4 linked regions of the Cricetulus griseus genome follow. The main gene of each other region encodes a partner of the protein of the gene in region 3 in a complex. Links are inferred from orthologs where the notes say so. Each region holds a gene or a part of one and is shown on either strand. Other genes may lie near its edges.

The links.
Region 1: probable global transcription activator SNF2L2 (region 3) and Phf10 share a complex: the UniProt entries of both Homo sapiens proteins name them as parts of the neural progenitors-specific chromatin remodeling complex. The link is inferred for Cricetulus griseus from reciprocal best matches to the Homo sapiens genes SMARCA2 and PHF10.
Region 2: probable global transcription activator SNF2L2 (region 3) and Dpf3 share a complex: the UniProt entries of both Homo sapiens proteins name them as parts of the BAF complex. The link is inferred for Cricetulus griseus from reciprocal best matches to the Homo sapiens genes SMARCA2 and DPF3.
Region 4: probable global transcription activator SNF2L2 (region 3) and Smarcd2 share a complex: the UniProt entries of both Homo sapiens proteins name them as parts of the BAF complex. The link is inferred for Cricetulus griseus from reciprocal best matches to the Homo sapiens genes SMARCA2 and SMARCD2.

Annotation. Positions count from the first base shown.
Region 1 is NC_048595.1:293,989,921-293,996,922, forward strand, and holds the end of Phf10 (PHD finger protein 10), read right to left. Parts: intron 3,950-7,002; coding exon 3,841-3,949; intron 3,570-3,840; coding exon 3,381-3,569; intron 3,119-3,380; exon of another isoform or gene 2,406-3,118; coding exon 2,320-2,405; 3' UTR 2,211-2,319; downstream 1-2,210. Other genes in the region: C2H6orf120 (UPF0669 protein C6orf120 homolog), read left to right, coding at 892-1,449. UniProt on the Homo sapiens protein: Involved in transcription activity regulation by chromatin remodeling. Belongs to the neural progenitors-specific chromatin remodeling complex (npBAF complex) and is required for the proliferation of neural progenitors.
Region 2 is NC_048598.1:120,234,017-120,241,720, forward strand, and holds the start of Dpf3 (zinc finger protein DPF3), read left to right. Parts: upstream 1-2,891; 5' UTR 2,892-2,960; coding exon 2,961-2,992; intron 2,993-7,704. UniProt on the Homo sapiens protein: Belongs to the neuron-specific chromatin remodeling complex (nBAF complex).
Region 3 is NC_048596.1:34,602,746-34,609,761, reverse strand, and holds part of probable global transcription activator SNF2L2, read left to right. Parts: intron 1-2,904; coding exon 2,905-3,010; intron 3,011-3,412; coding exon 3,413-3,514; intron 3,515-5,813; coding exon 5,814-5,994; intron 5,995-7,016. UniProt on the Homo sapiens protein: ATPase involved in transcriptional activation and repression of select genes by chromatin remodeling (alteration of DNA-nucleosome topology).
Region 4 is NC_048600.1:119,217,970-119,225,483, forward strand, and holds the start of Smarcd2 (SWI/SNF-related matrix-associated actin-dependent regulator of chromatin subfamily D member 2), read right to left. Parts: upstream 4,019-7,514; coding exon 3,803-4,018; intron 1-3,802. UniProt on the Homo sapiens protein: Involved in transcriptional activation and repression of select genes by chromatin remodeling (alteration of DNA-nucleosome topology).

The sequences.
Region 1 (7,002 bases), on a different chromosome or scaffold from region 3:
GGAAAAATCTCCAAACAGTAAATGTGGCCTTAAGAATTGGTGGGAGGAGGAGGAAGGGAGGGGGGACGACGACAAACGTTACTGACAAGCTAAAGTCTATGGTGTTACATAAACTGGAACCGACTCAGGAGGAGGAAAAAAAACACCATTTCTTACTAATAGTTCTCACGCGGAAATTTAAATGTTTCCTCTTTCCGTCATGGTTTAAGACAAATCCCGGAGTATCTCCCCAGATGCTGCTGCCTGCGTCCGGACCCACGGGGCTTCTAAGTCCCTAAGGGGCTTGGGCTGCAGGCAAGGTCGCGGGCCTGGGCTCGGCGAGCGCCCCCTGGCGGCCTCACCTGCTGTCCTGCCCGCCCGTCTGCTCCGGAACCCGCAGCTCGAGCCGCCGCCGAGTTACCATGGTTACGAGGAAGCGGACCCTGAACGCTACGCAGCCCTTCTCTCCTCTCGCGAGAGCTCGGCGCCGATCTGCTTCCGGTCACTAGGCCGGAGTCCGTTCCCAAAAGCAAGCCCCTCGTTTCCGGGGTACACTTCCGGGCGCCGCTTCTCTTCCGCCTGCCGGGGCGAGTTCCAGGCTGAGCCCGGATGCTGCGGGTGCTGCGTGGCTTGCGGGCGGGGCGTGGCGTGGCGGTGAGTCCTGGGTCCGCAGCTTCGCCGTTCCGGACGCCTGCGCCCTCAGGGGCCTGCCCTCCCGCCCCTCTGGCCGCTCCCCTCCTCAGCCCTGCTCGCTGTCCATCCCCTTCCCCTTCCCCACTGTCGTCGGTTCCCGGGACCCAGCTGCACACGTCCCGGTCGGCCTGGGCGAGCACCTCCGGCCCAGCCTGCCGCCCGTGCCTCCCCAGCGCGGCCGCCGCAGATGAGGGAGGCCCCGAGCTGAGAGTCTGAGGCATGGCCGCTCCCTGGAGGTGCGCCCTGTGGGTGCTCCTGGCGTCCCGGGTGCTGACCCTGGTAGAAGGCCTGGAAGAGGACGACGTCCCGCACGAGTGGCTCCTTCTGCACGTGGTCCAGGGCCAGATCGGAGCCGGGAATTACAGCTACTTGCGGTTGAACCACGAGGGTAAAATCATTCTCCGGATGCAGAGCCTCAGGGGGGATGCGGACCTGTACGTGTCCGACAGCACTCTGCACCCGAGCTTCGACGAGTACGAGCTGCAGTCGGCCACCTGCGGCCAGGACGTGGTCTCTATACCCGCGCACTTCCAGCGCCCGGTGGGGATAGGAATTTACGGACACCCGTCACACCATGAAAGCGACTTTGAGATGAGGGTGTACTCTGACAGAACTGTGGACCAGTACCCATTCGGAGAGGCTGCCTATCCTGCTGACCCCACAGGAGCCAGTCAGAACCAAGCTTATGCGCCAGAGGAGGCAGCCCAAGAAGAGGAGTCGGTCCTCTGGACGATATTGATTAGCATTTTGAAACTGGTGCTTGAAATTCTCTTCTGAATCCTTATCTGCACGGAGCGACTAGTTTGCTGTGGACCTTGCTACTTGACCTGGTGAAATTCTGGTTACTTTTTTTCTAGACTAGGATGGAAAAATAAAGCCATACAGTTTTGTTACCTCAGTTTACTCCCCACGCAGGAAAAGCAGCAAGCACAATTATTTTAGAGATTAAAATTCCCATAAAAAGGAGTCTGCTCAATAAAATGTTTAAATACATTTTGGTTAGTCAGGTGAGTAAGAAGATTATTGCAGTAACAGGCTGTATAACTCAGATAAAGGCTGGTGACTGTAGAATGTATTCTGTAGACATACTAAATGGAGTACGGCACTTGCAGTTTTAAAGAGGTTCTAAAGCCAGGTCGGAAAAGCTTCCCAGAGCCACTGTGCACAGTAGGGATTGTGGAACCTGATACTCTCCTGGCAGGCAAGCATTTACACATTGTTGCTGTGCCAGCTGGTGACTATTCCAAATCCAGTTGTACCAGATGGTTGGGCCCTCTGTCCTTTCCTCTGTTGGCCAGATTGGAGTGCTCTGGTTATTAAGTAACTGATACTACCTAAGCAGGTCAAGACAGTCTCAAAAGACTGTAACTTTTCAGACTCAAGAAGAAATATTTCAAATTAAGTTGCTACCTCTTTCTGCTGATCTCTGGAAAAAGACAGCACTAAGAGATTAAAATCTGGGAAATGAGACATTTCTCTCTGACTTTTTCTTTCAAGGGTATGAGTTGCTACTAATGAAATAAATCAACTTGAAGATGTTTAAGGTCATAGTTAATTTCAAAAAAGGTTCTTTATTGGCATAAAAATGAAAGTGTAAATAAAATGGCACCAGATATCCCAAACTGAGGGTCAGGTCAAAAACCTATTTTATCCCTCTTTGCTGTTTTTTCCCCTTCTGCCCACTTTCCTGGGTGTTGGGGGAGCTCGCTGACAACAGTCACAAATCCAGCGACCTAGGAGAAAAATTGTTAGTTAATATGGAGTGGAATTTTATTTTTATAGGACTGAGTACAAACCACCTAAACTCATTCCTGAGCTGTCCATAGTGATAACTCTCTGGGATTTTTTTCAGTGGGGAGGGAAGTACTGAGCTCCTTAAGCCAAGGGAGAAAATGTAAACAACCCTTAATCAGTGTAACCAATACAATTCGGAATTCAATGCACAGACAAGATGGGGAAAGGGCACAAAACAATCATTTGTACCTTAAAAAAATATGTAATCCTAAAATTCAAATACCATCATGCTTTTAAAACCTCAACAACACAATCCTAATGTAGAACTTGTTAATGGATCTGGCTTTGTGTGGCCTGTTCCACTGTTCTGACACTAGCACCTGCACCACACACTTGAGCTGAATTACTGCAGAACCTGAGTGATTATTCACATCCTTACGGAGGGATTCCAGGAAACTGAGTTTTATAGAGAACTATACAGTGTTAACTATGCAACTTAAGTCCTTAAAATTGCACAATTACCTGTATAATGTTTCAATAGGATTACTGTGATTTACTATTTGATTCTGTGTCCATCCTAAAGTTTTCTGGAATTGTCATGCTGCCTCACTTTATAGGAAGATGTCTTAGTATATATATAAAGGCATAGCAGTCACTTTGTTAAGTTTCTAAATAGACGAACTTAAAAATAAAATGAAAGCATTGAAACAAACTGGTGGTGTTACTTTAGCAATTTTAGTAGAAAACACCAGCTCATTCTATCCCTCAGACAATACTTCCAAACCTAACCTAAGTATTCTATTTCAATTCTCCTTTGGTTGCACTAAGGATGAAAATCAGGTAGCTGTGACATGGACAGTAACAGCTTGATCATAATTGGAACATGTTCATGTCATTTATACAGCCTTAAAAGAATGCTGGGAGATCTTCATCACACAAGATAATGGGCTTTTTTGTATTTTTTTCATCTTTACCTGATGGAATAGCACCAAGGCCCACACAAAAAGTATGATAACCTCTGTCACACACATCACAGAACATCATTTCTTCTTCATGGTGGGGCTGTCCACATATAATGCATGTCTTACATTCCATACACTGCCATGGGTAGGTCTTAATTATAGAAACAAGCTCCATGGTCATATCCAAGCAAGAAGGGTGGCCTAAATCAAAACCAACATTAATAGGATTTCACAACAGAACTTTCAACTTAAGGCACATAAAACATTAGTTCCCAAGAATGGCTGCCAGGATTAATGTTACCATAGACACATCAAAATACAAAGTAGCAGATACATGGGTTCTGACTACAGCTAACAAGTCACTATTCATTTGCTGACTCTTTGGTGGATACCTAGCTGATAACTACAAACCCTAGCTTTTAAGGCAATATGCAGGGGTGAGGTAAAATCTTAAGGAGACATCTCTACTTACCACTGTTATCACACTGGGAGCAGTGTATAAGTGATTCAGCCTTTCCTTTCTTGTTGGATTCCTTACCCTTCAGACAAATTCCACATAGAGCATTTGGAATGACCTTTGGCTGGAAGGGTAGAAGAGGGCTATAAATTCATGCCAGAAGAACTCACTATGGGTTCAAAAGGGATTCTGTTATTACCTTATCTTTACTTTTGGTAATCTGATAATGAAAACCTTTTTGTAAGACATAACTGGATATGAGATGGATCAGAATATAAAACCCCCAACTAATGAAAGCCTAGACTGTACTCCATAAACCGCATCAACGTGTGTTGCCTAAATGTAGCACTCTGCTCCCTACACACACAGCATCATCTCTATAAAAAAAGACCAGAAGGAAAAATGAAATAGGATGTCAAATGCCACTAATAGTTGGGAAAGAAAATCCATATACCAAATAACCACACATAAAGCTAAGCCTAAGTTTTAAGCTTATATTAAGCTTATGTTCATTTTATTTCAAAAACTGGTGTTTTTCCAGTGATAGAGCTAAGCCTACAAAATCTAAGCTAAAAAAAAAAAAGACACTATTTCAGTATTTTAATTGGAAGCTGTCTTGTCCATACATTGTCATGCATAAATGTCTATAGAAATCTGAGTTGGATGCATAGTCTTGTTCCATGTCTAAAAAGAACTATGATAAAAGAGAGAAGCAGTCACTGTGACGTGTAAAACATAAAAAGTTTTTGGGCATGGAAAAACTATAGTCAAATAGGAAATATACAAAGCATATTTTGAGTATTATCTTTCACATTAAAAACACACACAGTATTTGGGCTTTAAACATGGAATGGGATAAAATATAAGGAGTTTCCTACACTTACAATGCCAGGGCAAGGAAGGGATAACAGAGCATCATAATCTTGACCGTCACGGACGCTGCTCACATGTACTATATATAGGTGTGCGTCAATAAATGGTTAAAAGGTGGGAGGGACAAAGATGGTAGCAGGGCAATAATCTAACACAGTCAAACGCATTGCATCTCTTTCCTGATGCACCATAGAGATCTAAACTCAAACTTTTATAAAGCAGTCTCACTTTAAATGTTCCACTGCCACTTTCGTACCTTGTCAAACCTAAATAATAATTTGCTTTTACTTTTTTAAAAATATTTTCTTTGCAAAAGATGACAGAGGCATTCAAAAACAATTTTTGGCTTATTTATTTTTTTAAAAAAGTCAACCTTATACATAAATATGATAAAAACAATATCTAAACAATCACAAATGTCTCTACAAAATAATAAATATCATGGAGTTAAACAAACATATAAAATGTCCCCATTGACTGCTCTCCATCCTCTGTGTATTTTATACCCTGCTCTCCCGGCATCTGACAGCAGCTGTTACTCAGCTACTCTTGCTGCACCCTAAGCACATGGCTTCACTGTGTCCAGGTTCTCAGTGAAAAATAGCTAGGAAGTTCACTTCAAAGACTGAATCTTAACAGCCATAATATGCAGGAAGAACTTTCAATAACCTGTACTAAATGTAAAAGATAAACTTACTTAATGCTTAGAGTTCCCTTAGACACTGGCATAGTAAGTACTCCAGTGTCTTTCACTAAAGTCAGGGAAGAAACTACACAGTATTAAATTTTGGAGAGAGAATTCCTCACAGGAGACTCTTTACACAGCAACTCAAAAGGAATAAAACACAAACCTAGTTATTCACATCCTAGAGCAATTCAAGTTCTACAGTCACTAAAATACACACAATGCCTATAATAAAAGACACTAAGAAAACTCAGGGTTTACCTTTAAAATTATACATAATTTCCTGTTAAACCATTTAAAATTGTTTCTTACCCAATAATCTTCATCTTGTTGAGAAGAAAAATATTCAAAAAACAGAAAGAATGGGAGAGGGGAAGAAGGATGAGGAAGAAAGAAAAGTGACGGAGGAGAGACTACAGCAGAAGAGGGAGAAAGAGATACGGTACTGTAGCATTTTCTACCGTGACTACAGTCCAACATACAAAAGCGCATTGTTCTTGTCAGTACGCAGGCTCTAACAAACCACAGGGCCTCACAGACAAACTGAAGACCAACACTGAAGGAGAGAAAGAAGGTGCAAAAGTCTCTTGAAGATCATGGGTGAAGGCCCTGTGCCTCTTTGAAACCCTCTGACCTCCTTCAAACAATTGCAACAACCTTTTAGTTTTCTTCAGCCAACAGCCCTCAGCATCTCAAATAAAAGGCTCATGTATACTTACTTCTCTTGAAAAATAGCAAAATAAGTTGAAACTAACATAGTATAGATTTTAATTATATATGTGTAGGCCTGAAGCCTAACAATTACACTTTAATTTCAGGTTAATGTAACCTAAGCAAGACTGACCTACAAGAAAAGGGCAAGCACTAGTCCATCTTATTAAATCACATACATTATCATGTTTCTTAACGCCCTTATTTTAAAGGGGTGTGTGTGTGTGTGTGTGTTGTCTGTGAGTGTCAACTTGAAGTACCCTAATAATTAGGCACATCTTGGCTCATTAATACTTTTCATAGAGAGGTTAACTTTGAATAATCACGTTCACATTAATATATAATATCTATATATTGGCTGTTCCTATCTTTGAAATACCTGAAACATTTTTAGTAATTAAAAATGTTTACAGATTATAAAATGTTTATTTTGCATATGCGGCTCCCTGGAGTACTATTAACTATTAATCTATATGATTCATTCACTACATCAGTGATGATATGGATAGTTCTTCATTTCCAGCCTGTATTACACGTCTGTTTCAATATTCTCTATTTTATAACGCATGATCAAACAGACTCCTTGTTTAACAGCTTTCTCAGCCCTGGACAGCTGCCACTCCCAATAGTAGGTACCTCTAAGACAGTGACACACACTGGCTCCTGCAGGCTGTTTCTGAAATGTCATCTTTGGAGTTTGTTTGGTTTCAATTATTAAGCAGTAACTGAAATCTTTAGTTTACAAAGCTATACATTTAAAAAAACAAACAAACAAAAACCAAATACAAAACCACACAGCAGCAGCCTACTGAGGCTGTCCTTGGAAGGATTCCTTGCTGAATAAAGCCATAATCGCTGGCCATGCACAAAAGCATGTGTTTTTAAGTGAATCATACATGGGTATTTCT
Region 2 (7,704 bases), on a different chromosome or scaffold from region 3:
TGACATCAAACTCAGAGATCCACCTGTAGGATTAAAGGTGTGTGCCACCACTGCCTGGCTTTGCTGGCCACAGTTTAATGTTTCGCTTTCTTCAAAGGAAGTTTACTTCAGCTTAGTGCTTAGAACATACCAGAGCTCGTTGTGGATACCAGGAAACCGCTTACTGAGGTCACGGCTGCCTGTGCTGTGGATGAATGGAGAGATGGAAGGGGAACCTGCTCTTGCTTTTGATATAATCCTTCTAGTTCCCAGAGCCCTGGAGGAGCTTCGATCATTGAGGATGGCTTTTGCAGCACCTTTAGTTTGTTTTGGATGAGGGATGCTTCTTAGGACTGAGCCTAGGGCCTTGTGCATGCTAAGCAATCACTGTAGCACTTAGCTGTTTCCCTAATACTACTCTTACTTTGTCAAGGATTTATTTATTTGATTTATTTATTTTTATTTTATGTGTGTGGATGTTTTGCCTGCATATTATGTCTCTGTGCCTTGTGCAGTACCTATGGAAGTCATGGATACATGCATGTTTGTGTACCATGTGCATGTCTTGTGCCTGAATTGTTCAGGAGAGGGCATCAGATCCCCCTTGGAACTGTTGTTACATGGTGTATATCACTAAGTAGTTGCTGGGAGAAACAACATGTGCTCTCAACTACTAAACCCTCTCTAGTCCCTGAAATGTAACTAAAAAAATGTTTTGACATCACAATTAGTAAGAAGGGTTTTGGGTCTATGGAGCTATATCATGGAATTATTGATGTCATTGTTGTTCATTTGCTCTAATCAATGAGTTTCAGAAGTGGATAGTTATTGCTACATTCTATTGTCATCTTATTGGGATTCCCTATATTCTTTATGCCACCAGCTGACAAGTGATGGGCAGACAGGTGGATTTCACAGCCTATATTACTACTGTACAGCACAGCTAAAGACTAGACTTTAATTCTGGTCAAGTTTTTTTTAAGCGTGTTCACTCCAAGTCCCTTGTTTCTGAAGGTTCTGGCCCAAATCTGTGTCTTTTTTTATCTATGATACAAAAACCAAAGTTAGTAACATATCTTTTATTTCTCACAAGTAAAAAAAGTGACTATAACCAGGCAGTGGTGGTACATGCTTTTAATCCCAGTGCTAACCAGGCAGAGGCAGGCAGATCTCTGAGTTTGAGGCCAGCATTGTCTCCAGAGTTTCAGGACAGCTAAGGCTACAGAGAGAAACCCTGTGTCAAAATAAATAAATAAATAAATAATAAAAATAAAAAAAAGGACTCTAAAGTCAGACTTGAGGACTATAAAGTCAGACTTGTATTGACAGTTAAAATGACATTCCATCAAGCACAAAAAACAAGGCAATGCTATTTTTTTGGGGGCAGAGCCTTGAGACTGGGTTTCCTTATGTAGTCCAGGCTGGTTATGAACTTCAAGGAAGCGCCATCATGCCTGGCTCTCTCTATGTAGTTCATCAAAACCAGCTTTCGATACAGGAGACCCTGTAATGAGAGAAGGGGGTGGGGGAAAACAACACCCTACTAGGCAAACAAAGAGTTAAATATTTCCAGTCTGCACACACACGTACTCACTCAGCTTTGCTGGGCTTATCTGTAACTCTAATAGTGAATGGAGTTGGAATCTGAAAGTTCTGGACTGCTTTGTAGTTGTATTTTACTTTATTCATTGAGGGCAGTAAAAGGAAAAAGCAGGTGGAATTATGAACCAGCAGTTCAGCATCTCTCATTTTTTTTTCTTTTCGCCCCCCCCCCCCCGCCTCGCCATCCATTTGGCCGTATTAAACAGCTATGGGTCGGTAGCCAGGCTTCTACATGCTAACGACGCCTCTAAGTGCTTTCGCTCACTCTGAGCCTCCCTCCCTGTTCTCCGTGGAAGCCTGAGTTCGCAGAAGTCTCTCAGTTTCTTCAAGTGTTCGCCAGATTCTGAGCAGCAACAGACTCGGGAAGCCTCGAGTCACGTCGCAACATTGGCTTGAGAATTCTTTTTGCGTCCTATATTAGTCCAGAAAGGTGACGCCGGTATCCGCAGCGCCGTTCCCCGAGGGAACTCCAGCAACACCCACCTCAGGCTCTAACAATTTTGCTTCCTTAGCTGCGTTTGCTAAAGTTGCCTCAAATCTTCCCTATCCTTTTGCCAAAAGAGCGCCAGGTCTCCCTTTGCTCTCCAGCTGGCCCGTGTCAGATCATTGTGAATCGCTGACAGCGGAGAACGGTGTGGTCGTAGGGGACAGCGCAGAGTGACCACCCCTGAATTACGTAACAAAAAACCGTAGCAGCAGCAGAGGGCGAGCCTGACGCTGAGACATTCCAGGGGGAAGGGAGTTGCTGTCCTGGACTAGCCAGTTCCCAGAAACCGACAGGGGAAGGTGGCTGAGATAAAGAAAACACTTCGGGGACAAGAATATTCAACAGCCTCAGAACCTACAGCATTATTAACAATCGGTGAAACACGAGTAGCAATTTCTTGCAGGGAATTGCAGCCTTCCAACTTTTGCACTGAAATACGGGAGGTGTACCCGGAGCGGGGGTGGGGTGGGGAGGTAAAGACGGTGATATATGAAGTCCAAAGCTAATGAATGGGATTTAATGGTTTTGATGGCCCTATGTAAATATTCCTGCTCAGGAGCGCAAACTCTCTGCAGTTATTTAGTAAAGTAGGGGCTCAAACTAAGAGAGAATTCTCTCCCATGTGTGTCCACTAGCCCCAATCAGCAAGGGCGCTACTAACACTGTACTGCCCCTTTAAGACCTGCTCGCTCTCGGGCTCTACAAAAGGGAGTGACCTCTGGGCTTTGACAGCTCCCCTAATAACTACCACCACGTAGGCCCCGCCTACCTGGCGACCAGCCGCGGCGATTGGCCTGCAGGCCGGTATCCCGTGCTCTGATTGGCCTGCCGCTTCCCCTGAGCGAACCTTTAGAACTCTGAGACAGACAATATTCTGTTACATTGTAGCAAAATGGCGACTGTCATTCACAACCCCCTGAAAGCGTAAGTAAGACTAAAAAATGTACATATTCCGCGTGGTTTCAATATGAAAAAAAGGCGCCTTGCGGAGCGCAGCCGGCGCCCGGCTCTTGCAGACGCCTCCCGCTGCGCCCGGGCTCCTCTTTTCTTCTGCTCTTACTTCTTCATCTTTTTTTTTTTTTTTTCCTCCCAGCGCGCAGAAATGTCAGGAGATGCAATTAACAAAAAGAAAATTGTTACATCTGTGTTCTGCTTAATTGACTGACCCGGACCGGGAGGGAGCCCGGAGCGGCGGCGGCGGCTCCGGAGCTGCGGGGGTCTAGAGCAGCTCGGGCTGCACGGTCCCCGGAGTCCTCTGCCTCTCCCGGCACCTCGCGGGGCTGGCCGAGCCCGGTCGGAGCGCGGGGCAGGGGCCGCGTCGTGCGCTCCGCTGAGCCCTGAGCTTCAAGCCCGAGGCTTCCCAGCTCCGCGGCTCGTCGGTCCGCCCGGGCGGGCTGATCAACCGCTGCAGCTGCGGAGTTTGCTGGGCGTTCGCTCTGCCTTCCGAGCTCTCGCAGGGAGTTTGTGCAAACCTTCCGGAGTTGGGAGGACAGCGCGCGGAGCGGCGGGTCTCGGGAGTCCTGGGGCCCAGGTGCTAGCCCCGGGCTTTTCCACTCGAGCAGCCGGGGGATCAGGGAGGCGCTCCGGGCGGTCACCGGTGTGTCTGCGTATTTGTGGGCGAACTGGCGGTAGTAAATTAACGACCTGGATTAACTTGGGGGTTGATGTGGAGGCAGGGAAGCTGCAGGTCTTATGAATGGTGTGTTTGCCTGCTTTGGGTGAAAAGCCGAGGTAGGCGGAGGCGGTTCGGGGCTCTGGCGACAACGAGGGGCAGGTGCCTCCGGGAGACTTTGAGCGGACAGAGGGGGGCGGGCTGCGCGAGGATTCGCGGGGGCCGGTCCCCGGTCGGAGCTGCCTGCCTGCCTGCCTGCCTTCCTTCCTTCCTTCCTTCCTTCCTTCCTTCCTTCCTTCCTTCCTTCCTCCCTCCTTCCTCCCTTCCCTTCCTTCCTTCCCTTCCTTCCCTTTCTTCCTTCCCTTCCCTCCAGTCGGTGAACTGTGAATGTGAAGCCGCCAAGTCCGCGAGCGATCGTGGAGCCGCGGGTGGCCTCGGAAAACTAGTGTGGCTCTCAAGGGGCGCTATTGGCAGGGATGTTGGCAGAGGGTGGATCCCTGGGAATTGCTGCGCGGTGTGGGCTCCGGTCGGTGCCGGTTGTACTAGGACTTCCCCGCCCGGTGAAAGCCTCTGGGAGTAGGAGGGTGCGCGTGGGTGTTTCGTGCCAATTCTTCCCAATTTGTGGCGGTGGTCGACCCTGGCTCTTTTAACTGCCTGCTACAGCGTCCTAACCCGTGGAGTCAAAAACACGGTTCGCTTTGGAGAGCAGCAAGGCAGTGCGGGGGGGATTCCTAGTGCCAAGAAACGCCTAGGGAGAACCCGCTGCGTTTGCACCAGCTAGCAACCAGGAATAGGGCAGGGATGTCCCAGATCTCGGAGTTTCCACGAGATAATGCGGTAAAGAAGACACTGGAGGCTGAGCCTGATGCGAGTTCCTGGCTCCAGTTCTCGCTCGGAAGCTCAGCTACTTTGCACTCGCGACAGCATTTCACCTAAGAGAGAAAATGTTTTATGGCAGAATAAATGGGCGTAACTTCGCCGCGTCCTCGCCGACTCGCGCCGCCACACCGCTGATGCCAGGAGTTTCTCCAGAACCCACACAGCTGATTTGCAATTTCCTCATTTCCAGCCGAAATCACGTAGTCGAGCTGATGCTGCTTGGTAAACTGAAGTCTGAGAGTTCTATTTACTATGTGTATGGGGTTCCTTATTGGGAAAGCGGTCTCCTTGATGCCCGGGAGCGGGCTTACGCTCGGGCGCGCGCAGGAGCTCCACGCTCCAGGGTTCCCCAGATCGTTTCACTTTTTTTTTTTTTTTTTTTTTGACATAGAAGCCTGCGAGTGTAGGGGTAATGGGGGAAGGGACAGAGCAGCAAGAAGGTGGCCAATCTCGGTAGTGAAATTAGTTCTGAATTACACGTGTACTCCTTAATAATTGGAAACACCGTGGGATGCATTTGTAACTCCGTCTTGGCACACACACGTACACGGGAGCTCACACACATCACCACTGCCTGCCTTTCCTAGGAAGGAGTCAAGCCGTCACTTTGTAATTATCCGCCCCCTTTTGCATCCCATCCTCTCCCCCAACCCCTAGGGCTAAGGGTGTAAACAATAACCCCAACGGCCAAGGGTTTTGCAGCCTGGATATTTTAAAAACTCCGCACGCAGGAGCACACGCGTCGTTACTGGGAGACCGACGTCATCTGCTTCTATTATTATTATTATTATTTTTAAAAACTTGTTTAATAAAACATCTTGTATATTTCATTTGTTTTTAGAAGTTGCTGTTCAGGAAACAAAACACACGTGAATAAATTATGCATGGGCTAAATTAGAACAAAGCGCAGCGACACAGCAAGCCGAAGGGATGGATGGGGGCGCAGGGAGGAGGAGCAATGAGAATGGTTTGGAGAGCTTATGTGTTTATCCTTGTGTGCCCCTCCTGACAATGAACCGGAGCTCCAAACCGCATTAGCATTTTCTCCGTGTGCGTGCAGTCTCTCTCGTCTTAAAAAGGCAACACCACGGACGCCCCCTACAGAAACTGGTCACACAAAGATTTCCTCTTGGACTGCGGGATAAGTAGCAGTAGTTAGGGTATGGGGAAAAGCCAGCTCAGGTTTCTTTCATGCAATCTTGTGCAGGGCTCTGCCTTCTTAGACTATGGGTTACTTTTCATCTTGCTAGCCTTTTTTTTTTTTTTTTTTTTTTTTTTTTCCCATGTGGGGCATTCAATAATTCAATTCACTGGGTGACTGGATGGTTAACTTGAATGTCTTTGCTTTGCATAGGGTGGGGGTGGGGGTGGGGGTGGGGGTGGGGGTGGGGGTGTCTTCTGTAGGGTTCCAAGCGCCTGAAAACAGCCTTTCTTGGTAGTTTGCCTTTCTTCCTGGCTATCTTTAATCTCCCCTCAACTCCCCTTGTTGCTTTCACCCTTTCCTCTCTGAAGCTGACAGTCTGGCTTCTCCGTTGTAGCCTTTAACTTCTTGTTACTGCCCAACAGGGTGTGTTAGAGGCAGAAAGAGGAGCTGCCTGGACAGATTAGATCAGAAAGGAGACTCGGCAGGTGGCCCTACAACAAAGTGGTCACATCTGGACAAATATAATTCAAAAGCACGGATGGACATGTGTGGTGTGTAAATGTGTGTTGTGTGCTGTTTAAATTAGCAGCTACATTGTCTGAGTGCAGATTGTTGGAGTCATCCTCAATTTCTGTATACAGAGGTAAGGGCCACAGACGGATTTGAAAAAGGCATGTGTGTGTGAGAGTTACTATTGTATACTTGTTGATTTCTGTATACTTAGGAAATAAATGCTTAAATTAAAAAAAATACTTATTTTAGCTGGGCATGGTGGCACATGCCTTTAATTCCAGCACTTGGAAGCCAGAGGCAGGCAGGTCTCAGTGAGTTCGTGTCCAGACTAGCTACATAGTGAGTTCCAGGACATCCAGAGCTACATAGAGAGAACCTGTTAAAAAATTACTATTTTATGTGTGTATATTTTGATCTGGTGAGGTACTGTTACAAGTGCAAGTGTGTGTGTGTGTGTGTGTGTGTGTATGTATGTGTGTGTTGTCAGAGGACAACTTTGGAGTCATTTCTACTTCTATGAGTTGTGAGGATTGAACTCAGCTCAGACTTGGAAGCAAGCAAGGTTACTTGCTGAGCTATCTCTCCTTTCCTTATAATACTTTTTTTGTAAGTTCTAACCTTAATATTCTAGTTTAGGTAAATCACCTTCCCCCATGTCTGCCAACAGCACTTTAGACAGAGCAATCTCTCAGTGACTTCTCGAAACTCTGGCCATAAGCACTTAAACTGGGAATGCCTGCCACCTTCTGCCAGACTTGATCATGTACATATGTATCTATTTTTATAACTCCAAGCTCAGAGAGGAATAAATGCTATCATTACTTAATTACTCTAGTTAGGGCTTTAATACTTTAATTATTTGATTTTAAACAATGAGAAAAGCAAACTACTTAGTCATGTTTGTCACTATGATTCCATGTACACAGTTGCATCAAAACTTTACTTTGTAAAGAGTTACCCTAGCTTGGAGGTCAGTGCTGTTATTTATGCTTTATTATTAAGGACATAACTCTGAGAGAAGTAAATGTTTACTTAGTCGAGATCCAACATGGCTCATGTGTATAGATGGACCCCAAGTTTTCATCTTCCTATCTGTTCTCTGATGTGGATGATGTGTGTTCTAATCTAAAGTGGGTTTGGGGCACATGAAAGTTAGAAGCCAGACCTTACTCTTGCCGTGGTAGCCAGTTTAGCTATCAGAGAGGAAGGGCCAGGGGGCCACATTCCTGGTGCTAATCTTGTCTTGGCTATTTTCGTTGGGGAGGGGGTGGTGAGTAGGGTTGGGGCTTTGTGAACTTGCAGCCTTTTATGGACATTATTTTAGTCCTTTGTGGAAAAGTAGATGTTTCAGCACTACTATCTCTCTCTGCTTTTACTCATCAGTGTAAAAAAAAAAAAAAAAAAAAAAGGATGTGGGGGAGAGGGATAGCTCACCAGGTAAAAGCACTTGTTGCTCTTCGGAGGACCTGAGTTCGATTCCTAGCACCC
Region 3 (7,016 bases):
AAAACCCCAGCTGCCCAAGCCTAGATCTCACGTTCCTGGGCTGCCACCAAGCCATTGCCCTGGAAGGGAAGACAGGGCAAGATTGAACAATAGAGCATGCTGGAATCCTGTGGGAAGGAGAGAGGATTCTGAGAAGGGTGGTTCGGAAAGTTAAACACAAGTAATATTCAGGTGACAGGACTCCACTTTCATGGAGAATGGGTCTTGATTGTGGGAGGGTTATAAACTGTTTGAAGGGGGATGGATTTCAACCAGAACTAGCAATACCTGTAATCCTAGGCAGAAGGACTGCCATGGGTTTGGGTGTCCTCGGGCTTTGGAGTGGATTCTATCTCACCGCCTCTAGCACCAGATACAAGAAACCAGTCTCTCTCTCTCTCTCTCTCTTCTCTCTCTCTCTCTCTTCTCTCTCTCTCTCTCTCTCTCTCTCTCTCTCTCTCTCTCTCTCTCTCTCTCTCTCTCCTCTCTCTCTCTCTCTCTCTCTCTCTCTCTCTCTCTCTCTCTCTCTCTCTCTCTCACACACACACACACACACACACACACACACACACACAGGGATTTTCCCAAAGAGAAAGAGACTGTTCTGCTGGACAGAGAAGCTGTTAGTAAAACAACTGGGGCATTTGGCCACACCCTGGAGGGCTTGGTCACCAGACAAAGGTGTGTATAGGAAGGTAGAAGCCTCTCGGTGGCTGGAAGACAACTTCCTTGGATGGCTTCCCCTTCATCCTTGTGCTTCATTCTCTCTTTGGGGCAGGGGGACAGAAAAAGCAGGAAGGGGAGTCTACTCCAAAGGGGCTTTACTTTTTAAGTAAAAAAAAAAAAAAAGATAAATTTATTCTCATTTTATAGTTCCGACACCAACTCTGGAGACATTCAGTTCTCTTATGAGCATGGCTGACTCTGGACTTGTCTCCCTAGTGGACCTAGGGCCTGCAGGTTTGACAGGACAGAGGAGGCAGGCACAGGTGACCTTTGTGGCTTTGTGCTCTCAGAGTTATAGTGTATTCTGGGGTCTAGTCCATGGTGTTTAATTCTTACTTCCCAGGCGCACAGGTGAAATCAGGAGTCTGTCCATCACCAGCGTGCAGAGCAAAGATGTGCTTGTAATTTGTCAATAGAAAAATGATACCATCTGTTGGAGATGTAGAAAATGACATTGAAGATGTCACTGAGGGTCAGGTATTAAAGCCAGGACTACAGGAAGGTCTGGTGTGTGGACTGATGCCAGATTTTGAAGAATGTTAATTTTAAAGAAAACACTCAGAATTAGAGAGAGAGACAGAGAGATGGGGTGGGGTGGGGGGGATCGGGTGGGGTGGGGCGGGGCTTTTTTTGGTGCCATTCAGATATTCTTTTTAAAACAGGTTAAATGTGAGTTATGAGTTTATACATTCCAAAATAGCAGGAAAATATGGACCTATGTTGGAATTGATTGTACATAAGAAACTGTGCTATAGCCTGCTGGGAATGGAAGGGTAGAGAACACCTTGGTTCTCACCGCAGTAATCCAAGAATCTAATTTCCTAGCCTTCAGTAGTCTTGTTTTTAAACCTCTTGTGTTTGTCCCCAATGTTGTATTCATGAGGCCCCTCCATGCATTAAAAATAAAACAAAACAGTGACCCTCTATGGCCGAAAAACTTGCCCATCCTTTGACTATCGGCGGTTAATTTATGCAGGCCCCTTTGCACTTCAGCTTTTCCCCCACTGGTTGCTAGGCAACCGCTTGAGTTACTGCGCATGCCTCTTTTATGATAACTGTCATTATGATTATTTTTTAATTATACAACTGGGACTGTGGATTAAAACAGCATATTGTCACTCATGCCTTGCCACTGCCTCTGAGCGTTCCCGAACACTGGTGCAGTCACCTTCCAAAATTTACATGCCAGGGGTTTATGATTATCTTTTGATGTTTCTGGCGTCACAAAGGAACCAGAGATGCCATCAAAAGGGCAGCGAGATTTTTTGTGGAAAATGACTAGACCATCTATCATAAGCTGTTATTGATTTAGAGAGGCCAAATCAGGCACTGGGGTCTTGAACCTCAATTATCCTTCTTTGTGGCTTTAACTGTGCCTGCTCCCAGCCTTAAGTGATGTGAAAACCGTGTTGCTCTGCAGCCTGCTCTTCCGAGTGACAGAACGCTAAAGCATTTCTCTCCTAAACCTGCTTTCAATAAACCCACCATTCTTTGGGGGGAGGGTACAGCACAGACTCTATAAACATGCAGCGTGCACGCATTAGCAATTGTCTCTCTCTCTCTCTCTCTCTCTCTCTCTCTCTCTCTCTCTCTCTCTCTCTCTCGCCTGAATTGCCAAATTGCTCCACACACATAAGTGCATTTAGGGGACGTGAAGGGGCTCCTCGGGCAAGGGATAATAGAAGGGACTCATGACTTGTAGAACACTGTAAAAGGAATGAGACAGGAAGGGCTGGAGAGAGCATACAACAGCTTCACATTTGCATTGCTCTGTATATTTTAACATATTTTCTAAATACACAGTGAGTTTGAAGACAAAGGAACGTGGGAGTCATGTCTGTGTGCTTTCTTTTAACCAACTCTGTTATTCATTTAAAATGGGACTTGGGGCTCAATAAGTTATTTTAAATATTTCTGTCATGATGAAAAGAGATTACCTCCTGACAGGGGAGTCCACAGAGTCCTTGCCACATCGTGTGCCTGTGACAGAAATGGGGACCTAACTGAGCGTTCATGTGATTTGAAGCCCTCCCAATGGGCATCAGCCTCCAATGCAGTGGTGGGCGTTTCCTCCATGTGCAGAGCCCCCATGCCTGTATCCGTGGGACCTCCTTTGCTTTGTTGACAGTCTCTGAAACGACCCTTTCCCTGAGGAGTGCTTTATCTGCTTTGTTTCTGTTTGTCTCCCCCATCCTGCAGTTCAGGGCGACAGCTCAGTGAAGTCTTCATTCAGTTACCTTCCAGGAAAGAGTTACCAGAATACTATGAATTAATTAGGAAGCCAGTGGATTTCAAAAAGATAAAGGTAGATACTGTGTTCACTGTTATTCTTCGAGTAAACAAAGGAGATGCATGGATGCTCGGGAGTGACGCTAGCTGGGGCTGGGGTCGTGGCCTCCTGGTTGCTAACCACTGACCTACACAAGTGCTTGCCCCAGGAAAGGTGGGGATGGGCTGACCTTGATCCTTTCCATGCATGTTATTTGATCACCGAAAGCTCAGATTATATACATTGCATGTTGTTGAGAACCCGCCTCTCCCTTGTGTGCACCTTCCTCCCCAGCCCTCGGAACACTGGTGGGAGGGTCTCGCAGTCCCACGCACTCAGCAAGGCTGAGTGCTGTGAAGACAAAGGGACATCGGGGCCTTCTTCAACAATAAGGACAGTTACATATTTCTCTTCTGTTTTGTTCAAAATTCCCATCAGGAAAGAATTCGTAATCACAAGTACCGGAGCCTGGGTGACCTGGAGAAAGATGTCATGCTTCTCTGTCACAATGCACAGACATTCAACTTGGAGGGATCCCAGGTATGTGTCAAGTTGTCTGAGAAGTGTCTAACCTGACCCATGCTGAGGTTCTCGGAAGTGGAGCATTTCCGTTTCGTTTCTACTTTTGGAACCATTGCCTCCACCCCAGCAGAGCACTGAAAACCGAAAGGCCTTGTTCTCTACTGTCAGTGTGAATAAAGGGAGGTTTTTTTGTGCGATATCTGGGTGGGCTTCTTCTCACACTTCCTTCAAGGCTCATCTTCCCATTAGAGGAAGAGTTCAAGAAAGCCATTGAAGGTAATGCTAGAAGGCTGGGTACCATCTGTGTACTTACAGAGACTGTATGCAGTGACAGCTTCATTTTTCTAACTTTAACTTTACACGAAGAGTTCAAAGTACAATGATTTAAAACAGAATAGGGGGTGCCTCTAATTGTTACTTTAAAAAAAATTCTTGACATTCCCTTCTCCACAGTCAGGAAGTCATTGTACATAACAGTGAATTTATGAGCATAAGGAGGAGGACATTTCCACTTTAATTACAACTCAATTCTACTTACCTTTGGTGGGAACTGATTTTTTTTTTCCCTATCTATCTTTCTGGCCTGATGCTCCCATATCCAGTAAAAGAGAAGGAGCAGGACAGGTCAAGTTACACAGAGATCCTGCATGTAGCATGTTGTCTAGCAGAGTCCACTTTCACAGCTGGGGATTGACAGTGATGTCTCCACCCATCTCTCCACCTTGGCCTCTCACCTTTCTCCTGTGCATGCTTGTCTCCCCGCAGCCAGCTTGTCCTCACCCTAACTTGTCAGCTCAGATCTCTGGCAGATTTTTTTCCCCCATTCCACAGTGTTATCCTTCTTGTTCCCTGCTTGTCATCACCATTTCCCTCAGGCTGACCTGCCACTTCCTTGACGATGTGGGTCATCTCCATGGCAAAAGAATTTAATCCCAGAGGGCAAAGGCCCATTTATTTATTCATCGCCCTTGAATGGTGGTCAGAAGACAACATAAACTTTACCACCTTAACATTTTTTTTTTCTCTTTTTTGAGACAGGGTTTCTCTGTGTAGCTTTGGAGCCTGTCCTGGAACTCCATCTGGAGACCAAGCTGGCCTCAAATTAACAGAGATCTGCCTGCCTCTGCCTCCCGAGTGCTGGGATTAAAGGCTTGCGCCACCACTCCCTGGCACCTTAACTGTTTTTTAAGGGTGGAGTTCAGTAGTGGTAAGGCTGCTCTCATGGGTGCTTAACAGGTCTCTGGTAGTATTTCATCTCTTAGAAATGACGAAGGCCTAAGCCTTTAGCAGTTCTCCCCTACCCCGGTTCCTATAACCACCTACTTTGTGTGAGTTTGACATGAGTGGGATTGCTTGGTGTCCATCTTTTGGTGACTGGCTTCCTAGGGTTCCTTTGTGTTGTAGAAAGTAACAGGAGGTACTTCCTCCCAAAAGCTGAGTCCTAGTCACTGCATCTGCCATGTTTTCTTTAGTCACTGATCTGTCTACAGATCTTTGAGTTCCCTCTGAATTCTTGGCTACGGTGCCTCTCCGGAACATGGGCATGTGGAGGAGATTTATTTCCTCAAGACTCTGTTTCTACTTATTTTGGGTATATATATCCAGAAGCGATGGTGGTTTTATCTTAATTTTTTGAGGGAAAGGACTATGTTTAGGTAGACTTCCTGTTTCTTTCAGTGGTGTTTCCTCTCAGCAGGGGAGGGTGCACAGTGTATTAGGTGACTTTTGGCTGCAATGAAGCTCGGCAACAGGGAACAACCCTGTAAAGGGTTCCTTTGCCACAGTATTTAAGAGAACCGCTTAAATAAGCGTGATTTAAAATATTGATTTTGTTGTCAAAGATACTGCCTTCTGCACCCATAGGTCCCAACACATTCTTTTGAGTTTGGCTCAGTGTGTTTGGTCTTCCTTGGAGTATCTTTGTGCCTGTATTTAGATTTTCTGTTTTATGCCGGGGTGGGGGGGGGTAGGGAGAGGGGGAGCGTGTGCTCAATGTTTAAAGCATTTGCCGCCTAAGTATGAGGACCAGTTTAGATTTCCAGAATGTGGGTAGGTTTAGGGGCTAGCCTGTAATTCTAGCAGATAGATATCCTGCCTCCATGACTAATCTAAAGAGTGACTGAGGAAGATTCCTGACGTCCACATGCATGGCCACCCACATAGGAACAAACACACTGTATACATAGGGGGAGAAAGCAATAGTAACATCATGGGTACATGTGTGTGGTATGTGTGTGTTGTCTAAGGAGGTGCATACAACAATTGCGGGTCTGCGGGCCTTGGGGTATAGTTAACAGTTGACACTTTGACCGTTTAGATCTATGAAGACTCCATTGTCCTACAGTCAGTATTTAAGAGTGCTCGGCAGAAAATCGCCAAAGAAGAGGAGAGTGAGGAAGAAAGCAATGAAGAGGAGGAGGAAGATGATGAAGAGGAGTCTGAGTCAGAGGGTAAGACCCTGCATCTGGCCCCTTCCACCTATCGGGCTATTTCCACAGGTACTAAAGGCATGAACACTTGCCCCGCTCATGCCCAGTTTTCTCCGCTGTTGAAATTGAGCACATCAGCCACAGAGCTCAGGACTGCCTAGGTTCATTGAGAATACTCTGCCCTCGTTGCCTTTGGATGTTGGCATAACCCTGGTGTGCATGCCACCTGTCACTCCTTAGCACTGTAGCCTGTAAACCTCCGATCTGGCTGAAGTCTTCTTGAAAGTGCATTTGGCAGCCTTAGAATGTGCTGTGTGGCTGCTACCAACATGGCTTGACAGTGGCTTTGCTTGTTGCAGTGCCCATCACTGGGGGACTGGTTAAATCAGTCATAGAATAAATCATGCATGGGAATATTTCCGATGTTGAAAAGAATTAAGCTATATGTGTGAGCTAACACATATTGCTAACTCCTGTGTGTAAGTAAAGAAAGAGCAAGGCATGGACAATGGGTGTGCCTGAAGAGCCATGTAATAACAAAATAAAACTTCAAATGTGTCTCTGTGTGTGTGCACACACACACCTATACTTACTTGGATTCTTGGTATGATAGCCTACAGAATTTATTTATGGTTATTAAGTATGCTTTTTTTTTTTTTTCTGGAGATAATCGCTAGAGAGCCACAAAGCTAGGTAAAGGAAGCATGTTGACATTTTTTATTTCCATTTTGTTCTCTTTCTACATTAAAAATGCTACTCAAACTACTAGAATTTTTAAGCTAAATAGAGCAATTTACACAGTGGAATCATCCTTTTTTAACCTTTGTAAGATTTGTTAATAGTTAATGTGTTTTTTTTTTTTTTAATTTGGTCACTACCCCGTTGAGCCATCAAGAACCAGGGAAAGGTTCCAAACCCTGCTCTGAGGTCTTTCTCCCAGTGACTACATCACTTATATTCCAAAGAGAACCATGCTTGCACTAGGAACAGGGAATAACTAGACAGGGTGGACTGGCATGCCAGTGAGGCTCTTGGGAAGTCTACCTTGTTATCTGCGGGTGGGATAATAGCTTTACTGATTTTAAACTCTC
Region 4 (7,514 bases), on a different chromosome or scaffold from region 3:
GGAATGAGAGCAGCAGACATCTGGATTCTGCCCATGGTCTAGGCACCACCTGGCAGCCAGGCTGCTGCTGGTTCAACTTAACCCTAGACATCCCAAGCTGCAGAATAAGACTGACCTGGGATGCAAGGGCTTAATAAGGGTCAACAGCAACAAGTAGCTTCTTGGTTTCTCATCCAAGGCCCTGTTCCCCAACATTTCTGGGAGCCCTCCACCTCCCAACTCCATTCACATGGCTGCTGCCTGAAAGGCCTGTTTGGCAGCTCTGCCTTGCACAGACTGTCCCTGGCAGCTTCACAGGGCTGGCCCCAGGGCCCAGGTTATGCAATCAATCAGTACAACCAGACAACCAGGCCAGCCTGGGTGGAGATTCACACCAAGTTAAAGGAGACCCCCCTCTCAGCATCCTGGAGATGAGTCTCTGCAATTTCTTTATCCAGCACTAAACCCATGTTCTCAACCACAGAAGGTCAGATTCATGACCAGTAGCAGAGACGGAGGGAAAGAAACATGACCCAGAGACAAGGAGCAGGGTGACAGGGAGGCATGTGGCAATTGAGGAGTTAAAAGTGGGAGACCCTGGGACCTCGGGAGTCCTGCCACAAGTCTCTCCTCATCAGGAAGAAATTCATCAAAGCTGTTGAAAGGCAAAAGCAGCCTGTTTCTCTGCCCTAATAAGCCAGAGCCAGAAATTAAAGGGGGGGGGAGGGTAGACAACAACTCAGGGTTGCCACAGCTGTAAGACCCTCCACCATCATCCAAGACTTCAGGTTTTCCTAGGGTAATTGCAGCTATAAGCTGGGGTGTTCAGTGCCCCCAAGCTCTTCACTGAAGTTCATAAAGCCTGTTCTACTGCTGAGCCCTCCAGGAAATCCCAAGTCGAAGCAGCCCAGGCAGGCCTGGAATAGGCCCCACCCAGACATCTGCTCCAGACTTCTGGGGCTCAGGCTCCAGGCCCCCAGCTCACCCAGAACCTCAGGGGAAGGCTGCTCACAATTCAAGTCCCAGTTCCCCCTGGCCAAGCTCCACACCTGAGCTTTGAAGAGCCAGAAACTCCTCCTTAAAAACTCAGGTTAGAAAACAAAACAAAGTCACAGCCATAGCCACAGCTTCACAGCCTCTGCCTGCTTGTCCTACCACAGGGGTAGGTGGGCCTGGTTCAGTCCCCTGGACCCCAAAATGCAGTAACTGCTTCTACTTGGCCAAACACCCCACACTCTAGACTTGATTCTGTAACCACCAAGGAGACAATGGAGAAGGCTAGGCCTGACTCTGCCATCTCTGGGTAGGAATCTAGGGCTCAAGTAAGCATGTTCTGCTCTGACCTAAAGCCTGTAGCTCTGGTCCTCAGATGGCTGCCTGGGCCTAAGAGCCTCATTTGGAGAACATACCCTGACCCTATGAACAGAAAGTATTCTAAACTCTGAGCTGAGTGAACTCAGCAATAATGCACAGTAGGTCTCTTTGTTTTGTTTTTAATTATGGTGTTAAGCCCTTCAGCTGACTGTACTCCAAGACTAGATAGAATAACCCTCTAGAGGTAGGTAGCTGGGCCATTACTTTTGTTTCAACAAGCTCCCCAATATGCCCAGCTTGAGCATGCAAATCCTCGCTCACCCCCAAGGGCTCTAACCAGGAGGAGCCCCTTTGTCTTCAGACCCCAAGCCCTTTTGAAGTTAGGTACCTGGACATGAAAAGAAGCAAGCAGTTTCTCCTTCAAAGTCAACCAGTGTTAACTGGATTCTCTTTACCCCACCTTTTCCTCTGCCCTTCCCCAGAGAAAGAAGAGGAGGGGAAGAAATGAGAAAGAAGAAGGTGGTGATGTCAACCTGGTTGGTATGGGATGTCCAGACTTAAGGCCATCTTCTTTCTCACACCTAGTAGCCACAGGTATTCAGCTGGCCAGCTTGGCCTCAACATAGACCCCAAGGCGCTACTCTTTACAAAATATGGAGGAATCCATCTTCCTATCCTCACAGGGGCTTTCCCAAGAGCAGATTTTCTATCAGCTGCATGCCAAAGAAACTGGTCTACATAGTGAGTTGGGGCAGCCAGGACTACACAGAAAGTCAGACAAAAAAAAAAAAAGCAAAGAGACAGATCTCCTCAGTGCCTATAGGAAGCTTCCAGATCAGTTCCAAGCAAACAGGGCCAAAGGCTACTAAAATCACTGACATCAGTGATACACTAGGCCCATGAATCTCCAAAGAAAGCAACATGGGAAAGATAAACCCCAACTAGTATCCTTGGGACCAAGTCTATCTCTGTTCATAGCCAAATTCTTCATTTTCTTTTGAGAGAGGAGAAATGAAGAGTTGGGGGGGGTCACTATCCCCACCCCCACTCCCAGTTAGGTACCTCCTTAGAAATCTGATTCCTGGTAGAATATGCACTCCATGAGGATCTATTTCTGAGGCCTCTACTCTACCTACAGACACCAGCAGAGGACAGAGCAAACTATAGTGCACACCTTCAGACATTAGTAACAAGGAAGCTGTGGCTCACAGGCTGAGATACCTATGGTCTTGTCAAGAACCCGGAGAACAAGTAAAAGCAAAGAGGTTGGGTGTGGTGGTGCATGGCTGTAATCCCAGCACGTGAGAGGCAGGAGGAGTTCAAGGCCAGCTTTTTTGGCTACACAGCCAGCCTGGGCTACATGAGACCCTGTATCAAAAAAAAAAAAAAAAAAAAAGGGGCAAGGATACTGGGAAAGGATGAACACAATCCCCAGGCACTCTGGGAAATGGGGTGCAGCTCTCTGATATAGCAATTGTCTGCCATGTGCAAAGCCTTGCCTGGGTTCCATGCTCAGCACCAAACTGCATTAAGTAAAACATAAAATCCTCAAAACATCCTGGAGCAACTTGCACCAGAGCATTGGGGAAGGAGCCCCACATGCCGGGTCAGGCTGAGTTCACAATGCACTGACCACAGAGTCGCACCCCCGTTCCTCAACGGGCCTTTGAAGCTGCAACCTGAGACTGACTGCTCTTTTTCCAGCTAGAAGGCTCAGGGCAGTGCCCTCTGAAGCAGCCGATGCTGCTGCAGACTCCTGCAGCCCCCGCCTAGCAGTATTCCACAAAGCCTCTCTGCTCCTCCAAACGTAACTACTGGACGCTGGCACTAAATGGAAAGCCCATGCTAGACCGTATCTGGACTAGTCTGTTACTGGGACTGGGCCTTCTTCAGACCTGGCCGCCGCTGCCACTAATCTAACCTGGAGCCATCTGGGCCCCCTCTCCTTAGTCCCCCCCATGGCGTAGGAAGCCAGGCTTCCTTCCCCCTCAACTAGCAGCTGGGAGCCATCTCAGACACTAACGCTCTGCCAGTTCCCAACTAGGGAAAAAAAAAAAGCCAAGGCAGAGTTGCAGTGGGACCGAGGCCAACGAAAGGATAACCCTGTTTTCTCTTCCAAAATTTTCTCACGTCTCGGGTCACCCCCGGACCCCGACTCCGGGACCTGCTTTAGACTCTTTCAACCCGATTGCACACAATTCTCCAGATCCCACGGAGCCTACATCTCTCAGTTACTCAGAAGCCGTGAGCCGCGGAGCCCCGGGACTCTTGTAACTGCTCGAGCGCTCCACCGGAGAGCCGCGCTCACCCTTTCCCCGACCCTGCCTGCCCCTCTCTCTCTAGCCGAGGGACCCCGGCCTGGCGCGCCACCAGCTCGCGGCAGTTCCTCCTGCAGCGTCCCCGGAGCCGCCCGTCCAGGGACGACTCCTGCCCGCCCTCACCTGCGGCCCCGGGGAGACCCAGCAGGCGCCCTCGCGGCGGCGCCCGCCCGCCCGCCCGCCCGCCTCACCTGGTACTGCGCCGCGGGGCCCGCGGGGCCCATGGGGCGGAAGGCGGCGGCCGCCGGGACCCCCATGCCTCCAGAAGGCCCCGGGCCTCTGAGCGCCGGGTTGGGCAGCATGCCGGGTCCCGCAGGCGGAGGAGGTGCACCCAGTGCCGCGGCAACGGCGCCGCCGCCGGGGCTTAGCGGGGGCAACGGGAACCCGCCCGCGCCACGGCCCGACATCGCTCTGTCCCGTCCCGCGGTGCAGCGATCCGGCCTCCGGGCTCTGTGTGGAGTCCGCTCCGCGAGCTGCGTTCCGCGATCCGGGACTTCGCGATTTTACTGCCGGGTTCCGGGGTTTTCTATTCCAAGTTCGCAAGTTCTTCACAGACCGACCCGCTTTAGGACCCGCGGCCCCACTGACTCCGCTCCTGCCGGGGAGACTCCAGATCCGGGATGTGCCGCAAGCCCGCCGGCCTCTCCCGGCCCCCGGAGGTTTCGCCGCCCGAGTCCAGTTACCCAGAGGCGGTTACGCGCTCCCGGCCCCGCCCAACCCGGGCCTGCGCCCGGCCCCGCCCCTTCCCAGCAGCCCAATCGAGACTATCTCTTCAAATCCCGCCCCTCGCGAGACCCGCCTCAAGCAGGCACCGCCCATAACTGACGGCCACAGAGCCCCGCCCTTTGGGACCGCCTCTTCCCGGAGGAGCCGGAGCGGAAGCTGCACGCGGAAGCGCTGGGAAAGGCGCGGGGTCAGAGCTCAAAGGTCACCGTCCTAGGTCCTCCGCGGTTAGGTGCTGGCCGCTCGCTCCTCAAGTGCGGCTCCCTCCGCGAGGTGCCGGGGGGGGGCACGCCTCCAAAACTGTCCTTCCGGGTCAGCCCTAAAGCCAGGCGACGGCCGCCGCTCACCCAGAGCCCTCGCCGGCGCCCGAGGGTGGGAGCCGGTGGGATAGGGCGCTGTCTGCCGTCGCCAGCACCCCGCCCCACACACACCCCAAGAAACCGCCAGGGACATGCGTGACTCCAGACGTGACCCCGCTGGGTAAAAGTTTGACTTGGCCCGGTGCGGAGGTTTTGTTTTGTTTGTTTTCCGAGACAAGCGTCTTGAGTGACAGCCCAGGCTGTGCAACTCCCCTTGTAGACCAGACTGGCTGTGACGCGCCGCAGTCTCCCTGCCCCTGCCTACCAAATGCCGAATCACAGGCGCGCACCGCCACCGTCGGCCCACAGAAAGTGAGTTTAGGTGAAGGAGTTTTGCATGCCGAGAAAACTCCAGGCAGTGAAGCAAGTTTTCTCCAGTTCATAGAGGACTTAGTTTTGAAGAGTTCCTGGCCTTTCCAGAAACCACTGGTTTCGGCTACGGAATGGACCGCCTACCCTCAGCTAATGTGGGATCTCCTCCCCACAGTACAGAATCGGTGCTGCTTAACTTTAATGAGCACTGAAAAATCCTCAGATTTGGGTTGGGGGATGTAGCTCAGGTTTAGAGTGCACTTGCCAAGCATGCATTAAGCCCTGGACTTGAACCCCGGACTAGATAAACAGTGCACGGTGGTGCATGCCGGTAATCCCATTACACATGAAGGAGTGGCAGGAGGGCCAGAAGTTCAGGGTCGTTCTCAACTGCATCACCAGTTGGGACTAGAGTTACAGGAGACCCTGTATCAAAAGAAAAGTCAAAATGTGAACCTTCTTGTTAAAATGTGGTTTGTGATTCAGTGAAGTGGGGTCAGGGCCTAAGATTCTTTATTTCTAGCAAGGTCCTTTTTAAAGAATTGCTGTTATTGTATGTGTGAGAGTGTTAGCAGGGTGTATGTGTACCGCCTGCTAGCCTGGTGCCTGTAGAGGATGTCAGAGCCCCTGCAGCCGGAGTTGCAGATGGTTGTGAGCCAGCCACCTTGTGGATGCTGGGAACCAAACGCCAGGAGCAGGAGCAGCCAGCGAGCACTCTTATTGGCCACCGCCTTGTTTTCATTCCCAACGCATTGCTTCCTTTATACTCTTCAGATCTTTTTTTTTTTCTTTTTTGAGATTAGAGTATCACTGTATAGCCTTCGATAGCCTGGGACTCCCTATGTAGACCAGGCTGGACTTTTTTTTTTTTTAAGATTTATTTATTATGTACACAGTGTTCTACACGACAGAAGAGGTAACCAGATCTCATCACTGATGGTTGTGAGCCACCATGTTGTTGCTGGGAATTGAACTCAGGCCCTCTGGAAAAGCAGGCAGTGCTTTTAACCTCTGAGCCATCTCTCCAGCCCCAGGCTGGACTCTTTAACTCGAAGAAATCATCTTCCAAGTGCTGGGATTAAAGGCCCGGATTCTAGTACACCCATCTCTCTTCCTATCTTTTTCTCTAGTGATAAACTCTGCTGCAGATCCTGCCTCTTGGCCATCTGAGACACTGCCTCCTTTCTCCCCAGAAGCTGTCAGTCTGGGAACAGGCCACTAAAATCATTAGTCACTGAATCATGGTTTCTCCCACGCCTGCAAGGTAGAAAGCTAGTGTCCATTTCTGCCCTTTTGTAACTGCAATAACTCTCCACGAAGAGCAAGGCGTGGTGGAGAATCAAGCTCCTCTGGGAAATTATTCCAAAGGATCCCTGCCAGCTTGCCCTTCATTCCAGAACAGTCTTTAAATGTAAAACACCAAGAGTACTGATACAGCACCCTCGGTAGAAAACTACCTCTGTGGGAAAGGCAGGTTAGGGTTATAAGTCCCAGGCCAGCTTGAGCTCTACAGCTAAACATTACTTTAAAAATGAGCCAGGAGTTGGTGGCGCCTGCCTTTGATCCCAGCACTCAGGAGGCAGAGGCAGGCAGATCTCAGGGTTTGAGGCCAGCCTGGTCTACCAAGCAAATTCCAGGACAACCAGGACTGTTACACAGAGAAATCCTGTCTCAAAAAACAAAAAAGACGTGCAATATCAGCCAGGAATGGGGGTACATGTCTTTAATCCCAAGGTAGGCAGAAGCAGGCAGATCTCTGAGTTGGAGGCCAGCCTGGACTACAGAGTGAGTTCCAGGACTACACAGAGAAACCCTGTCCCAAAAAACCAAAAATAAAAATAAGAAATAAAATAAATCCAAAGGAACCAGTTCCAGCATGGGCCCTGTGGGTCCTTACTTAGCTGTTTGGTGGGCCTAATGGTGCCCTCTTGGAGTCCACAAAAAAAAAGACACCTTGGGACTTCCCATAGAGCAGACCAGCAAAGGATCATTCCTCAGTATAGAGGTCAGGATTTCAGAAAAAGCAATATGGACAGTCAGATTATGGTAGAAAGTATTTCCTAAGATGGTGGCTCCATCCTAACCTGTTTCAGCCAGAGCATCCAGGCAGCGGCAGTCTGCATCTCCCACATGGATGCCTTGGTGGAGGCAGGCCCAGGGCACTGGTATGCAGAGGGGCAGACAGACTAGCTTTCACCACATGGGGTAACTCAGAACTAACTGTAACTCCAGTAACTCCAAATCTGAAGACCTCTTCTGGCTTTGTCAGGCACTGCACTTATGTGCAGAAATACACACATGTATACGGAATTTCAAATAAATTTTAAAAAGTAGCTGATGAGTGGTGGCATATGCCTTTAATCCCAGCACTCAGGAAGCAGAGGCGGGTGGATTGCTGTGAGTTCAAGGCCAGCCTGGTCTACAGAAAGAGTTCCAGGACAGTCAGAGACAGAGAAACCCTGTCTGAAAAACACACACACACACACACACACACAGATAGATATCCACA